2 linked regions of the Notamacropus eugenii genome follow. The protein of the gene in region 2 interacts with the protein of the main gene of each other region in a pairwise test. Links are inferred from orthologs where the notes say so. Each region holds a gene or a part of one and is shown on either strand. Other genes may lie near its edges.

Region 1 (7,715 bases), on a different chromosome or scaffold from region 2:
TCTGTTTCCTACTATTTATGCCTAGAGACAACACTCTAGCCTGACATGACCTAAAGAGGAAGAATTCTCAAAACCCTCAAATATTGTTCTCCTCCTCCCAAACCTAAGAGAGGCAGGCTGAAGCAATGCAAACTCTGACACTTTTAATGGACATCTCATCTCACATCAAGTTGGAAGAGGCAGAGTATTAATATTGGGCGGCCTTTCTCCCATTCCCCACCCCTTTCTCCTAGTTAAATCATACTTCCTCTTCTCTGCATGGTCTTACTCCCAGTTCAGTGGACTCAGTAAAACTATGGCTCAGAGTGCCCCCTAAACAGACACAAGAAATCTTTTCTCTGGCAGACTTCAGGCCTACTCACCAATCTGGGAGGGGGTCTGGCACCACCCACTGCTTACTCCCAGGATCAGAGTTACACTTTAGTCCCCTAATCAGCTTAACTAAAGTTCTGTTCATGCTAATACAGTGTTTGAGACTAAGGAAGCAAAGATAGAATGAGGCTTCCCAGATTTCTGAGAGGCTGGCTGTCATCTTGCATTTTGGTAAGGAAACTAAAGGACAGAATCTTCCAAAGAACTGCTTTGGCAGCTTCTCCAGAACTCTTCTCCTGACTCTCAACAAAGACCATCTACTCAGCTTCAAGAGATAGGTTCTGACCAGCTCACCTTGGGGTTTTAGTGCCCATTCCACAACTAGGTAAGTCCTAGTGATTTTTACTTTTAACTCTCAACATAATTAATATAGGTGCAGACCAGTTGTGGGCCTCCAATCAAAAACTGTGGCTGGTAGGAAAAGAAACAAAGTAAATACTATGTAGCAAAGTAAGGTAGACTAGCCCTCAATGGGCCAAAGGATGGGAACAGGGCTAGAAAAGCAAGCAAAGTTCTGGTGCTATCACAGAGATTTAGTGACCTCCTCTCACCCCAGTCTCCAAAAAAGGAAGAGAAAGGTATCAGGAAGTGGACAGTGTAGCATGTGAGGAGCACAAGTTGAACTATGATGAAATGCACTCGAAGTCCCCATCCCCACTAAGCTGCTCTGGCTTTCAGCACTTGTGAAACCAATTTATTACCAAACTGGTGGCTTTCACACCCACCCTCTCTAGTTACACTGTAGCCAGATAAAAGAAAGAAATACAGGAGGAATGCTTATCTAACAATGGAATTTTAAATGACCAACTTTCTAATGTTATAAAGTATTACCTAAAGGGAAAACAAATTGATTCTTGATCTCCTAATTTAGATACCAAGCAAAGGACTTTGAAGTCGGCTTTGTAACTCTTGTTCAGCCGATTTTCAGACACGTCTAACCCTTTCTGACCCCATTTGGGGTTTTCTGGGCAAAGATACTGGAATGGTTTGCCATTTCCTTCTGCAATTCATTTCACAAATGAAGAGACTGAGGCAAACAGACTTCAGTGACTTGCTCAGGGTCACACAGCTAGTGAATGTCTGAGTCAGACTTGAACTCTGGGAGAGGCATCTTCAAGCTGACTTCAGTTGATCAGGTTGAATAGAATACTTTTTACATACATGGTTGTGGGCCTGACCACACAGCCTAGAATCATTGGGTCCAAAGTCCCTACCATAGCACCAATTCACTGATGGTTAATTGTTAAAGTGATAACTGTTCAGTTCTCCCAACCTAAAGAACATACAATTGATTCTCTCTCTCTTCCTCTCCCTCTCCCTCTCCCTCCCCCTCCCCATCCCTCTCTCTCCTATATAAGTTGACTGTAAAGAAATGATCCTGTACTTAGCTATAGTGAAAAGTCATGCAAAGAGAAAGAACTCTTGGGGGTTAAAGGTACCACACATGTGCTAATGAAGAACATGACTTCCTCTAGTGACTGAAGGAAGACATGGGGACAGATGAATGGTGACCTGAGAAAAACAGGCTAATGATGGACTTGGAAGTGCTGTGACAAAGGCTACTTTTATAGATTTGGGATACCATTTCAAATGTACAACACAAGTGACCACTGCCTGAAAGCTCTCAAGACAGAGAGTAGAGTATCAGAATTTGAGAAAATCTGACAGCTTACAGGACAAACCTGATTCAGCTGGGATCTGCCAAGCCCTGTGTGACCTTGGACAAGTCCCTTAATTTTTATGGGCATCAGTATTGGACTAAATGATCTCTAGGGCCTCTTCCAGCTCTAAATTCTTGAAGTCCCTAATTCCTACTAGTTGGGAGGCAACTCTCCAGTATTCCTGTGGGGTAGGAGGACACAGCAGGCAACCCCTCCGATGTCTGTGATTTTATCAGCGAGTTGTGGGGGGTGGGGGGGGGGGTTCCTAGAGATTTCTCCAACAATGTATGAAAAGAAAAATACTAATATGATAGGAAAAGACTGGGAGACTGGTTGGGTGACCTTGGGCAAGTCGATTCCCTCTGGGCCTTAGTTTACAGGATGGTGATGATGATGATGATGAATTGGGGGGAGGGGTTTAAAAAATGCCCTCCCAGTAAAACTCTTGAGAGGGAGGAGACAGGCTTTGGGAGTTCGGGAGAGTCTGACATTGGGATGGCTGGTCCCTGGCCCCCGGGAGCTGAAGAGGGTAAGAGGCTGGCACCAAGAACCCGAACCAGACTCAGCGAGGGCGGAGCGGGGACTCGAACTCCCAGCTCGGGAGCTTACGCGGGTCCCGGGCCAGCACTCACCTGCCTCCTCGGGGCCGTCCTCGGTCACGGTCACGGCTGCCTCGTCGTCGTCCTCGTCTTCTCCGCAGACCCGGGGCGGCCTCCCGCCCCAGCTGCCCCCGGGCCGCGGCGGGGCCTCGGCAGCCCCCTCGTCGTCCTCTTCCGGCCCCGAGCCGCCTCCACCCGCCCGCGGGGCCCGGACCCGGTTGCCCGGACCTCTCGTGGCGGCAGCCCCGAGCCCGCGCTTCCCGGCCGCCCCCGGGGACAGGAAGCGGCCCAGGCGGTCCCGCTTCATGGCGGCCGCTGCGGCTGCGGCTAGAGGCCGGCCGCGCTCATGGCCCGCCGCCGCCCCCGTCGCCGCCGCCGCCGCCGCCGCGCCCCTCTCCGGGGCCGGGGGAGGAGCCTGGCCGGGCCGGCGGGCGAGAGAGGCGGCCGGAAAGGCGGCACGAAGGGCCCCGGCGGCAGCGGCGAAGGCGGCGGCGGCAGCGCTCTCTGCCGGCCCAGAGCGGCGCGGGCCCGGCCCGGCCCTGGCCCAAGGTCACCAGCGAGCGCCCGAGCCGACGCCGCTGGGCCTCTGGGGGCCGCGAGGGGCCGGGCCGGGGGGCACTAACACTGGCCCTCCCGCTGTGACCCTGGAAAGCAGATTCACCTGCGGCCGCGCCGAGCTCGGAGGGCAAATGTTCAACAACCAGCTCTCCTCTGACCCCAAATGTGTGCGAGGCTCACTTGGATGCTTTATCTGTCCTCCTTAAATCTGGACAGTCCACAAACTCAAACCCTGACTCAGGATTGGCCCATTTCTGAAGTGTAAATATTCTGCCCGGAGCTAGCTCCTGCACACCTTGACCCAACCTTTGCCAATTTCCAATAGAGGAATTAATTAATTAATAGGAGATTAATAGAAATCTCCTCTACTCGATCCCAGACCCCGCCAAGCTGAGGGTGGACGCTTTTCCCTTAAGCAGGAAAGCATTTTCTAGCCTCCCTGCCTTAACTCAGGCTCCATCGTAGGCTCGAAATGTCCTCTTCCCCCTCTTCTACCAAATCCCTAGAGATCTTTCAAGGTCTACATCCCTCCGGAAACCTCCTTTTTATCCTTTATAAAAATCTTCGTCTTAGACTTCATTTTATTTTCTTCTCTAATGTGAGACATGATCCCTGTTTATACCAGCGTCTCATCCCCCTTCCCAGCTGTGATCTCTAAAGGCAGAGACTTGTTTCTTGCCCCAATTTTATATCACCCCCACACCTGACACAACATTGTACACACAGTGGTTATTTAATGAATGCTTTGTTTTTCTATAATAACTCACATTTAAAGAATGCTTTTTGGGAGGTCCAGACCAGTGATTTCGAAAGCAGCAGGAACTCCTGGTGTTGGACTGTCTTCCACCAATGCAGATCAGCAGTCGAGTATAGCTTGTAAGTCAAACAGTTTTATGAGACACAGAGAAGTAAAGGGACTTGCCCATGGTGACAAGTGTGTGAGAGAGAATCTAGGTCTTCCTCATTCCAAGGTTTATTATCTTCTATCCCTTATCCCAGTAGTCTATGACACTTAATGGTTTACAAAATACTTTGCATACCTTATCTCATTTGATCTACATAACCCGTGAGGGGAATCAGGGTAGCTGGCATTATCCTTATCTTACAGAGAAGGAAATTGAAGCCCAGAGAGATTTGCCCAAGGTCACAAAATTATCCGAGCTCTAATTTAGAACCCGCACTTCAGACTTCAGAGTTGCTTGAACTGACCGAGGTGCTGAAGACTACAGACAAGGCTAAATTAAAATCAACTACAATAAGAACAGCTAGCATTTATTTATACAAAGCTTTAAAGTTTAAAAAGTGCTTCACCTATGTTAACTTATTTGATCCTCACAATAAGTGTGGGATTTTTCATCTGTTTCCCATCTTTGCCTGAACTGGCCAGAGTATTGCGATTCTGAAGGCTAAAGAGATAAGCAGAAATTAATTTTAATTCATCCAGGTTCACCAGTGGAACTTTCTCCCTGTTTTCCTTTTTTTTCTCAACTTCTCTACAGCCTCCTAAGTCCTTCTACTCTTTGCTTCGGTGAAGTACAAATTACTGACGGAAACCATTCTTTTCCTTTTTCTGGATAACCAAACCCAAAATTTACTATCCTCCAGACATTAACAGTAGGACTAATCATGAGTCTGGAGCAAAGTGGTAGAAAGAGGGGGAAAAAAGTAGCACTTCAGAGAGCTTTGCCGTTAACTAGCTGGGTGACTTTGGGGCAAGTCTCATTCCTTTTCTGAACCTTAGTTTCCTCATCTGTAAAAGGCGTGAGTTGAGAAAGATAAGCTCCTTCCAATTCTGACAAACGTATATCTTCTTAAAGAGGAAAGAGTGGGGAAGGGATAACGGGTGAGGGGAGGGAGATAATTTGGAACTGAAAAGAAAATTGAATTAAAGAAAAAACAAAAGGGGACCTTTCAGATCCCTCCAATATTGTAACTAGATATTGAGGCTTATCCTGAACTGTGCAATTAAAACCGAGGTAACAGTCTCCACACGGGATCATTGAGCAAGTGCTGGAAGGGTCTTCACCCATCTAAACGGCTTAAGAAGACAGTGGGGCCAGGGGAGGGGATGTGAGTGGCTTGCACATGCACCGTAAGCCGCAGAGGTGGGAGGAGAACCCAGTCCCTCCGACTCCCGCCCGGCGTAGGTGCCAGACAGCGGGCCTCCCCGGGATCAGGACCCACGACTGACAGCTGCGAGCTGGAGCAGCCGGAGCCTCCGCAGACTCAGCTGGTGGCGCTCTCCTTAGGTGGAAGGTCTTTCCTCCTCGGAAGTCCGGAGCCGGCTCAACCTCTGCAGGGGCGGGGGAGGGGCCTCGGCCCCCAGTCTTAGTCACCAGAGCTCGTTCCCCGGATTCGGATCTCCTGCGTGGCACTGCTGTGACCTCTAGTGAAGCAGTTCCTTTTTCTGTGCCTCAGTTTCCTGCCGTGTAAAGTGAAGAGCTGGATTAGAGGGTCGCTATGGGCTCCTCCACCCTCCGCAGTATATATTCCATTTAGTTGGGGATTTTGCGCTCGTTCGCTGCCATGACAACTCCTCGGGCTAGGCCTCGGCCTCCTGGGCTTTCCCAGGATTCCGGGAGCCAGGCGTGGGCGGGGCCAGGAGCGGCTGCGCGGGCCCTTTAATCATCAGCAGAGGGCTAGGGCGGGGCGGGGAGAACCCTGCTGGGCACGCGCCGGGGGCTGGCCGCGAGCCCGCTCCCCTCCCCGAGGAAACCGAGCTAATGAGGAGCTGTCCGGAACTTCCTGTTAGTCCGTACGCTAACGCCGTCCGGGTGGAAGGAAGTGCATTAAACGTGAGCACCGCCGGGACCTCTTTCCCTGGACGCAAGGTTCCGGCTGATCGCAGGCCCCATGCCCAGCCCCGCCCGCCGCCACCGCCGCCACCGCCGCCTCCTCCCCGCAGCCGGGCGGGCGCCATGGCGGCTACTGCGGCGGCGGGGGCCGCGGGGGACGGCGCGATGAAGCCGCTGCAGAGCGCCATGAAGCTGGCCCACGGGGCCATCGAGCTAGACGCTGGCAACCAGCCTTTGGTGAGCGGGGCCGGGGAGCCCCGGGAGGGGATCCGAGGGGGAGGGGCGGCCCCTGTGGAGAGGGGGAGGAGGCGGGGAAGCCCCCGTGAGAACGAGAACGGAAAGGGGGAGGGGCAGCCCCCGTGGAGAGGGGGAGGAGGCGGGGAAGCCCCCGTGAGAACGGAAAGGGGGAGGGGCAGCCCCCGTGGAGAGGGGGAGGAGGCGGGGAAGCCCCCGTGAGAACGGAAAGGGGGAGGGGCAGCCCCTGTGGAGAGGGGGAGGAGGCGGGGCAGCCCCCGTGAGAACGAGGACGGAAAGGGGGAGGGGCAGCCCCTGTGGAGAGGGGGAGGAGGCGGGGAAGCCCCCGTGAGAACGGAAAGGGGGAGGGGCAGCCCCTGTGGAGAGGGGGAGGAGGCGGGGAAGCCCCCGTGAGAACGGAAAGGGGGAGGGGCAGCCCCCGTGAGAACGAGGACGGAGAGGGGGAGGGGCAGCCCCATGGGAAGGGGGAGTCTATGTGAGAAAGGAAAGGCGCCCCCCGCCCCCCTGGGGCTCACTGTCCCTGTAGAAGGGGGGATGCCCTCGCACCGAAGCCCTCAGGTATTGGGAGATCTCCGGCTCCCGGCTCCCCAGCTACATTCACCGTGTGTTCTCCTTAACCTCCTGGGGCCCCGGGCTGGGAGATGCTAAAGTAAGAGCGAACGGGCCGTGGTCTGGGAGCCCCGGGACCTTGCCCTGGTCCCCTGGGAGATGGGGGGCGGACGCAGGCAGAGTGTGGTGAGGAATCCGCGGGGGGACAACTGGCCTTATTAAAGGTACAGCCCTTCCCGTGGTCCTGAATGGTTGGGGGGAGTCCCGAGGATGAGCACTGACAGGCCTCCCCCAGGGTGCAGAGTGCTCCTGGGGCATTCGATGGGGGGACCCTTCACTCGAGGCAGATCTCCACCCTCGTGCGCCTGTCCTGCCCAGCCCGTGACCGCCCGGCTTTTGTAGCTAAAGATAAGGTAGTTCCTCGGGGAGTTGTTTGGTTTGGAATCCTGACTCCCAGTAAGTAGTCAGGAGTAATAATAGTGAATAAGAGCGAGGCCCTGAGAAGGATTGTGGATCGTTAATAAGACGCACAAGTAGAAAAGCAGGCTGAGCCAGCTACTAGACTGGCCGGGATGGAGGAAGGTGCTAAATGCCAGGTGTAGGATGAAATCCAAGTTCCTGAATCTAGTTCCTTTTTTCTGAGTTTATGTTCCTGGGGATCATGTTTCTCTTGATATCGGGAATTCTGTACAGAATTCGTATTGGCCTCCTAATGATTACTGAAGGTCAACAGTACTTTAAGTTGCAGACCTGAGATGCTGGAGCCCCATTGAGGTTCCACAGCTCTCAACTATGTCAGACTGGGGTAATCTCCCCAGGGGATGTTTAAAGGTGCAAAGCAATAAGGAGATTCCCCATTTTTGAAAGGAACTCTCAAAGCATCACATAACCCCAGTGGACTGAATCATATATATGCATTATGCATT
Region 2 (7,985 bases):
TAGAACATTGACATCCAGGCTGGTCTCCTCATTGTGACTGTCCAGGGGAGAACGGCTGGAGGCTGCAAGAGCAAGTGTCTTATTCTCCATATCCAGCTGCAGAAGGCGATCCTTGAGCTTCTGAATTGCCAGCTGATCCTTTTGTTTAGCCTTCTCATAGGTGCCCAGAAGTTCAGACACTTCTGAGACTTGGTTCTCTAGGGCAGCCACCCTCTGTTCCTCCATCTGAGAATACTGACGGAGCTGCTCCTCTGCCAAAGCAGTCTAAAAACCAAGGAAACAAAAAAGATGAATTAAGAGAGAGTGCAGAGCTTGTCACTGAATCTAGGAAAGGCAGAGAAGAGAGAGGGCACTTAAATAGGATGTGCTGGTAGGAATGGGAAGAACTTTAGAGAACTTTTTCATTGATTCAAGCACCAACAAAACTTAAACTATTATCCACTCCCATTCTGCAACCCTGCCCTCACCCCTTGAAGACTCAGAATTTATCTCACCAAATAATATTAAGGTCATTTTCTGTGACTTGACAAAAATCACATGAGCATTAATACTATTACTAGATCAAGTCAAAACAAATGCATTACACTTATTCCCTGAGAAGCATTGTCTTCAGCTCAAGAAGCTAAAAATGAATCCTTCTCCATGAATCCCTGATCCATCCAGTTAGAAATTTTCTCTCCCGTTTTAAATTTTCCTGTGACACTTTATCTAGATTTCTCCTTTGCTCTTCTCAAACACTATCCTGTATTATACTTATCTGTGTACATGTATTGTTTCTTCCTGACACCTGCTACCCAGTAGAGTCTAAGTTCCTTGAGGCCTGGAATGTTTTTTTTTCCCCTGTGTAATCTCATTGCCTGGCACAGTGCCTTAGCACATGACAGATACATGTTTATTGAGTGTTCATGAACAGTTCTATTCTGCTTTCAGTTTCTACATTTTTGTCACACGTCTAGCATATTATGTCTATCACCCTTAATCTGCTGTTTATCCTCAGGAACTGCACGCTCCTGTATGCTACCCCTGCCTAGCAAGTCCAGAATTGAAAAGCGGTATTCTCATAAAATCCAAAACAGTATTCTGGGATAGCACATTCATCTCCAAAACAAATCCTGATTGAGAACAACTGAAGGAAACTGCCTCCTTCTGAAAAAAATATCAACCACACAAATAGAATACAGTACTTCACTGTTTTCCTTAACACAGCTGTTAAGAAGCCAATGCCTAGAATCTGGAAGCACTCCAACTTAATTCCAGACAGCACCCACAAATACCACATCCCCTTAGACGTATGTTCTGTAATTTTTGTAAACATCAATTAGACCAAGATTTTCCAGTAAATTTGTCCATGAGAAATTTTGGGTAAGGACCATGAAAATAAAGGAATTGAAAGCATGAAGAGACCTCGTAGGTAAATTTGGTCCAAATCCCTCATTTTGTAGAAGAGAATACCAAGTTCTATAAGATAAAGCAACTTGTCTATGGGTACATAGCTGTAAGTGGCATAGTAAGGATTTGAACTCTTATTACAAATTTAGCACTTCTTTCAACTACAGTATAGGGTTTGAAAAGAAGAAAAAGTCTAATATTTTTAGTCACGCATTAAGCACCTATAGATTTGAATCAGATAAGGTGAATTACCTTCCTCATTTCCTGCTGCAACTGGGACTGGAAATGACTCTTAAGGTGGGCAGCTTCTTCCTGAAGCTCTTCCAGCCGTGGGTCTGGATGAGTCTTCTCCTCTCGAAGAGCCTGCAGTTCCTGCTTCAGTTCCTCCACTTCGTGGGTCAACTGTTTGATCTGTAACTCGAACCCTTCCACCTGGTCAGCTGAATAGGCCTGTCCAGCCAGGGCTTCCCGGGTCTCCTCTAGCTGCAGTTCAATATCCTGCCGTAAGGTTCTCTCTCCTTGTAGCAGTTTCTGCAGCTCCCTCAGCATCAAAGCATGATCACTCTGCTCCTGGGCTCTGTCATGCTGCTGTGTGATCAACCTGGCTTTAGTCTCTGCCATCTGCTCCTGCAGCCCCCTGAGCTCCCCCTCCAGTCGGCTCCTTTCTTCCTCAGCCTTCCTACCGGCATCCTCCAAATCTTGTTTCATTTTCTTTTTATCAGCCTGGTACGAGGCTTCCATGCGGGACTTCTCTTGTGTCACTGTGGCCAAAGAGCTGGTCAGGGTGGTCAACTGGGTCTTCAGTTGGTGCAAACGTTTGTCGATCTCCCCGCCAACACTGGCTGGCACATCCCCACTACTGGAACTAACGCCACTCTCCGACCCACTGGCTTCCTCAGACTTCGGAGGTGCTGGACCAGCGGGCAGTCTCTCATCTTCCACCCCGAGATCACCCTTGGTGCTGGTCAGACTGGCCGTTGTGTCCAGGCTGGTGGCAGTACCAGTGCTGTCCTCACTGTGAGTGGAGCACCGGTCATCCACAGCCTCGGCCAGGGGAAGGCCTGGGGCCTGGCAGGCATCGTCAGCCTCGTGGGACGCCGAGAGCACCTTGAGGCTGGCCTCCAGGGCCTCCTTCTCCTTCAGCAGGCTCTTATAAGCCCGGACCACGTCCTTGAGGCGGGCCTGGTACTGCAGCAGCTGTTTCTTCTGCGTCTCTATGGTCTCCAGCAGGTCCTTCTTGCTAGGGCCCCCGCCGAAGTTCATGCCAAACTTCTCCATGGCAGGGGCAGCTCCCTGACGTCACCGCTCACGGAGTCTGGGGTGGGGGGGACAGTGCGGGGAGGGGTCCGACCTTACGCGCGCTCCCGCCGAGGGGGTGCAGCTGCCAAGGCCGCCATGTCAGGCGCTTTCCTGGCTCCGGCCCCAGAGGGCTAGCGGGGCAAATGACGAAGCCAGCAGACGCCGCGGCGCCCCTCGCTCCCTTCGCCCCCGAAGCGGGACAGACCGGTTCCGGCTCCGATCCTAACTCGGTAACCACTTCAAGTCAGTTGTCAACAACGCTTCCGGCTCCGCCGGAAGTGCAGGTGGGCATTCGGGATAGGCGTGCGCTCGGGGAGGAGAGGTGGGACGTAGAGCGAAGGGGTGGGGCATAAGGAGAGGGGCGGGGCCTTTGAGCGCCAAGGGGAGGGGCCTCGAGCGCCAGTCGAGCTGCTGCGGTTGCTCTTAGGCGAGGCTGGGCGCTGCTTCCTGGGGTCTGAGCTGGTCAGGGTATCTGATGCAGTGGAGGGGAAAATGCATAGAGAGACCTGTATGCACGACTGCGGCGCAGGGAATGGAGGCGACCCCCTGCCAGATCTAGGACCACCAGTTCTTCACCTCTTTTTGACTCCTGGACCCCTTAAAGCACCGTATAAATGATATTTGTTAAAATGTCTGTAGTGCTTGAAGGAGAACCCCGCCCCCCATGGGAAGCTGGGGACGGGAGTATTGAGGGGCTGTTCTCCATACCTCTTGTTACAGGACCCTGGGCAAGTCACTTAACCTGTCTGCCTGTGTTCTCATCTGTAAAATGGGAATGAAAGCACCTACCTTACAGGGCTGTTGTGAGGATCAAATAAGCAATTTGCTTTAAGTACTATACGAATACATATTATTCTATTCACCAGTCTAGAAGATCCAGAAAGCTGCAGCCATTATGGTCAGGTGCCTCCTGAGAGATGTTTGCTCTAAATTTGCAAATTGGCCATCTGCAGATCTCTGCATTCAATTCAGCAAGTGTTTATTGATACAGATGTCTAGCATTTCGTGGTGTAGTGGAAGTGAATCCTGAATTTGTGAGTAAGGCCTGAGTTTAAATCTCTCCCCTAATATCTTTCTACCTGTGCAACCTTGGACAAATCACTATTTCTCTTGTTCATTAAAGTTTCCTAATTTGTCAAAAGAGAGTAGTGGATAATCACTTATGACCTTTCCAACTCAAAAGACCTATTGTTGAGGCAGCTAGGCAGCACAGTGTTTGGAGCACAGTTCCTGGAGTCAGGAAGACCTGAGTTCAAATTCAGCCTCAAACATTTACTAGCTGAATGACCCTGGGCCAGTCACTTAATTCCATTGCCTCCAAAAAAAAGCCCTGTTTTAGAGGTGTATTTATATAACTACAGAGAAGAAAAGCAGCAAATCTGGGGACTGCATCTGAACTTGAATATGATTTCTTCCCCTAGATTTATGATCTAAAACTTATTTTACTTTTGCTGTATCCTACCAGTCAATTTAATTCAAGCATTAAGTTACTATGTGACAAGACCTGGGCTAGAGGTTGTCAGAGAGATACAAAGTACAAGAGGAAATTTCTGCTCTAAAGAGAGAAATTCTTACTTTACCCTGCCTCTTATTTACTTGAGGTACAGGGAATTGTAAGTAAACCACATTGGGGTTCCTTAGAATTAATGCCCTTGAAAAAACCCAGCTCCTTGAAAGCAGGAACTGTCTTGCTTGTATTCATAACCCCCGCACTCTGCACAGTGCCTGGAACATTTTAAAGCACTTAATACTTATTCTGTTTATTATCATTGGTGTTTATTGTAGGTCAGTTGTGATACCTGAAACTCAGGGCAGAAGTCCATAGATGCGTTCCTTACTTTATAGTAGAAGCAAGAGGTTAAGGTGATTTAAAGCACATAATATTAATGTTTTATTACCATTGGTGTTTATTGTAAGTCAGTTGTGATACCTGGAAATATGGGCAGGTTCCGTAGATTCCCTCCTTACCTTGCAGAGGCTCTGGGAAAGAATGGAAAGAGGTTAAAGAGTAAAAAACACCGCATCTTGGGGTGCCCTGGCAGGCATGGGGAAGAGAAGCTGCATCTGTTACAAATGATCCTGATGGTGGGAGGGATGATGGGCTCTGAGGCAATATTCTGGAAAGAGACCCTAATTTCTTTCTTCAACTTGCCACAAACACACAAGGTAGACTATTCCAGAATGCTGGGGGGGAGGTACGCGTTCTTCCTGAGCCTTCTTTCTGTTTCAGTTTTTCCTGGCGTAAAGAAGTGATTTAGAGTCAGAAGAGCAGGGTTCGAACCCCATCTCTCCTACATCCAGGTGACTGCGAGCAAATTACTTCCCTCCCAGCCTTAGCTTCCTCCTCTGCAAAAAGAGAAGGTTGGGCTCTAAGCTCTTTAAGGTGTGCGGGATGGGGGCGTGGCCTGGGTGGGGGCGGGGCTCTTCGGTGACGTCACGCGGGTCCTGTAAGCGCGGAGGCGGCTCCGGTTCCTGCTGCTGCTGCTGCTCTCCATCCCCCCAGCAACCTGCCGGCTCCGGCTCCGGCTCCCGGCTCCCCGCTCCCCGCTCCTCCCTCCCTGGCCCAGCCATGGGCCTCACGGTGTCCGCGCTCTTCTCGCGGATCTTCGGGAAGAAGCAGATGCGGATCCTCATGGGTGAGGTCCCGGGCAGCGTCACGGCCCCGCATCCCTCCCTGCCCACGGAGTAACGCCCTCCGCCTCCCCCGCAGCCTCGCCGCCCCCGCATCCCTCTGCCGCCCCCGCAGCCTCCCCACCCGGCCCTGCGCGCCCAGCCTCGGCCTCCCCTTCCGAGCCGGGGGTGAGGGTGGGGGTGGTCGAGAGAGGAGATGAGGGAAACTGAGGCACGGGGTGGCGGGTGAGGGAGGAGAAGGGATAAAAGACCCCCGGCCCTCGGGAGCGGGGGGCGGGGTTGGTAAGACAGGTACGGCCTGCAGCCCAGCTGGCCCAGCCTGCAGCCTCCTCCGCTTTGCAGCAGCAGCCGGAGCCTGCGGGCGCCCAGGCCGGGAACCTGCCGGCCTGGGCGGGGTTAACCCACAGGCCGGCCGCCCGCCCCCACGCGAGGCCCTTGGACACGACTGGAATGCCTCTCTGGAGAGGCAGCCCCCGTCCCTGTGGGGCCCCCACCTCCTTCCTTGAGTCCTGCCCTCCCTTGAATCCGCAGGCCCACTTTGGGTGGGGTTTTTTGTTTGGCCCTGGGCGTGCGGGTTTTTCTATGGAGGGGAAGAGAAATGGCTCGTGATGCCCAGGTTTCCCTCGGACTCCCCCCTAACGTAGCTCCCCGGAGCGGGAGATGCACGTTGAGACTTTCCGATCTCATTTTTCCCGTTCCCGAGCCCTCTCCCTCCTCGTCTCAGTCGGAGCTTCTCGGGTACCGTATCCATTACCCTGCCTCTCTATTGCAGTCGGCTTGGATGCCGCAGGCAAGACCACGATCCTCTACAAACTGAAGCTGGGCGAGATTGTCACTACCATCCCCACCATAGGTGAGCTCCTGGGACGGAGGGGAGGGCTGGTAGTCTGTGAGCGTCCCCTGTATTTCCTCTCTGGGGCCTGACCCTGACACTAGATACAGTTGCTCCAAGAAAGTAGGTCATGGTGTCTTTGGCTGATGGTGCCAGGATGTGGAAGCAGCAGCCCTGGGCCCAGTTCGGTTAATTCTTTTAAGTCTGCATGATGTTCTTCTGGGGGACTCCCAGAAGTTCTCCTGACCAAGCTGATCTCCCGTCGCTTTTGTAGAGTTGAATGTACCTGCCCACATTACAGTGCCCCTCCTCCCCCCCAGGCTTCCCCCCCTTTTCCCTTTCCTCACAGGCTTCAACGTGGAGACCGTGGAATATAAGAACATTTGTTTCACCGTCTGGGATGTGGGAGGCCAGGACAAGATTCGGCCTCTCTGGAGACACTACTTCCAAAACACTCAGGTGGGCCAGAGAGCACAAATAGCTAAATAGACACATACAGTTTCCCATGGTTCCCCGTTACCTACAAAATAAAACTCATTCCTATATCTGGTATCTGTTAAGCACCTACTACGTACCAGACTCTGTATTAAATGCTAGAGATAAAAATAACACTTTGCCCTCAAGGAACTTTTATTCTACTTTCTAGCAATTTCTTCAATTATTCCCTTTTTGAGTCTAGCCACCTTGACCTAGTCTGTGTTTCTTAAACAAGCTTTCCTCGCTTTATGCTTCTATTCATGGCTCCATCTACCTAGAATATTCCTCTTTTCACCCTTCTCCCCACTCCAGTCTCCTCCCTCCACCTGTTGAAATTCTGTTCATCCTTCAATGAAGGTCCCACCCAAATACCACTTCCATTTCTGTGAAGCTTTCTCTGCTTTCTCCAGTCAGAAGCACTTTTTCCTTTCATGTTTCTGTAGTTTTTGCTTATATCCTATCTCTAAGTGGTCCTCATGAAATTCTTCCCCACGCAATATTGGTATACCTATCCTTGTACATTAATAAGTGTTTTGAGAGTAGATAATATATATGTATATATATTTTCCCTCTTAGTGCCTTGCATATAGTAGATGCTGAAAAGGGAATTAGGTTTTAATATATATTGTTTTGTTTCATTTTTTGAATGAAAGACAGTTGAGTCCATTGATGGATGAAAGTGGAGTTATAGAAAATGTAAGGAAAGGGATAGAAAAGATAGAACTATGGTTCATTTTCTTTGGGTGAGCTAACTGCTCTTTCTTCCCACCCTAGGGTCTTATCTTTGTAGTGGATAGCAATGACCGAGAACGGGTCCAAGAATCTGCTGATGAGCTTCAGAAGATGGTGAGTGCCAGATGGGCTGTGGAAAACATTGGACATTGAGCCCTCTCTCTCATGAGTCAGAAATAGCGGAGACCGTAGAAACACAGACTAGTTTTCAGTCTAGGCCAGGAGATCTGAGTCTTTTTTTGGTTTTAAAATCTCTTGTGTTGATTCATCCTGGGTAAAGAAAGAGAAAAGTTCTCCCCCTTATGTTATGGGATGAAGCAAGTAAAATAGTCTTTCTTTTTATCCTTCTGTCATGTTTATGTGGGATATTGATCGAGGTAGGGAAGGGAGATAGGTTGTGTGTTGTATCTTTAATATGTTGAAGTAGATTTCTATCCCATTTACCAAGAACAGCTATGGGTCATTTTATAGGGCCAAGGTGATTTCATTCAGATTAATAATACTATTTTATTTTTATTTTAATGCCTGTGGTATTATCTATATAGACCAGCATTTCCTTAAGCAATCTGGCTATAGAACAATGTGAGGCTTGAAATATATAAATTATATAAAGCACTTTCAAATC

The links.
Region 1: the proteins of GCC1 (region 2) and ZNF276 interact in binary tests that used the Homo sapiens proteins (3 or more experiments, as listed by UniProt). The two-hybrid records come from large-scale screens. The link is inferred for Notamacropus eugenii from reciprocal best matches to the Homo sapiens genes GCC1 and ZNF276.

What each region holds. Positions count from the first base shown.
Region 1 is NC_092872.1:707,617,739-707,625,453, reverse strand, and holds the start of ZNF276 (zinc finger protein 276), read right to left. Parts: upstream 3,002-7,715; 5' UTR 2,940-3,001; coding exon 2,666-2,939; intron 1-2,665. Other genes in the region: VPS9D1 (VPS9 domain-containing protein 1), read left to right, coding at 5,914-6,222. UniProt on the Homo sapiens protein: May be involved in transcriptional regulation.
Region 2 is NC_092874.1:122,542,004-122,549,988, reverse strand, and holds the start of GCC1 (GRIP and coiled-coil domain-containing protein 1), read right to left. Parts: upstream 3,001-7,985; 5' UTR 2,668-3,000; coding exon 1,642-2,667; intron 265-1,641; coding exon 1-264. Other genes in the region: ARF5 (ADP-ribosylation factor 5), read left to right, coding at 5,081-5,324, 6,092-6,172, 6,501-6,610, 7,403-7,474. UniProt on the Homo sapiens protein: Probably involved in maintaining Golgi structure.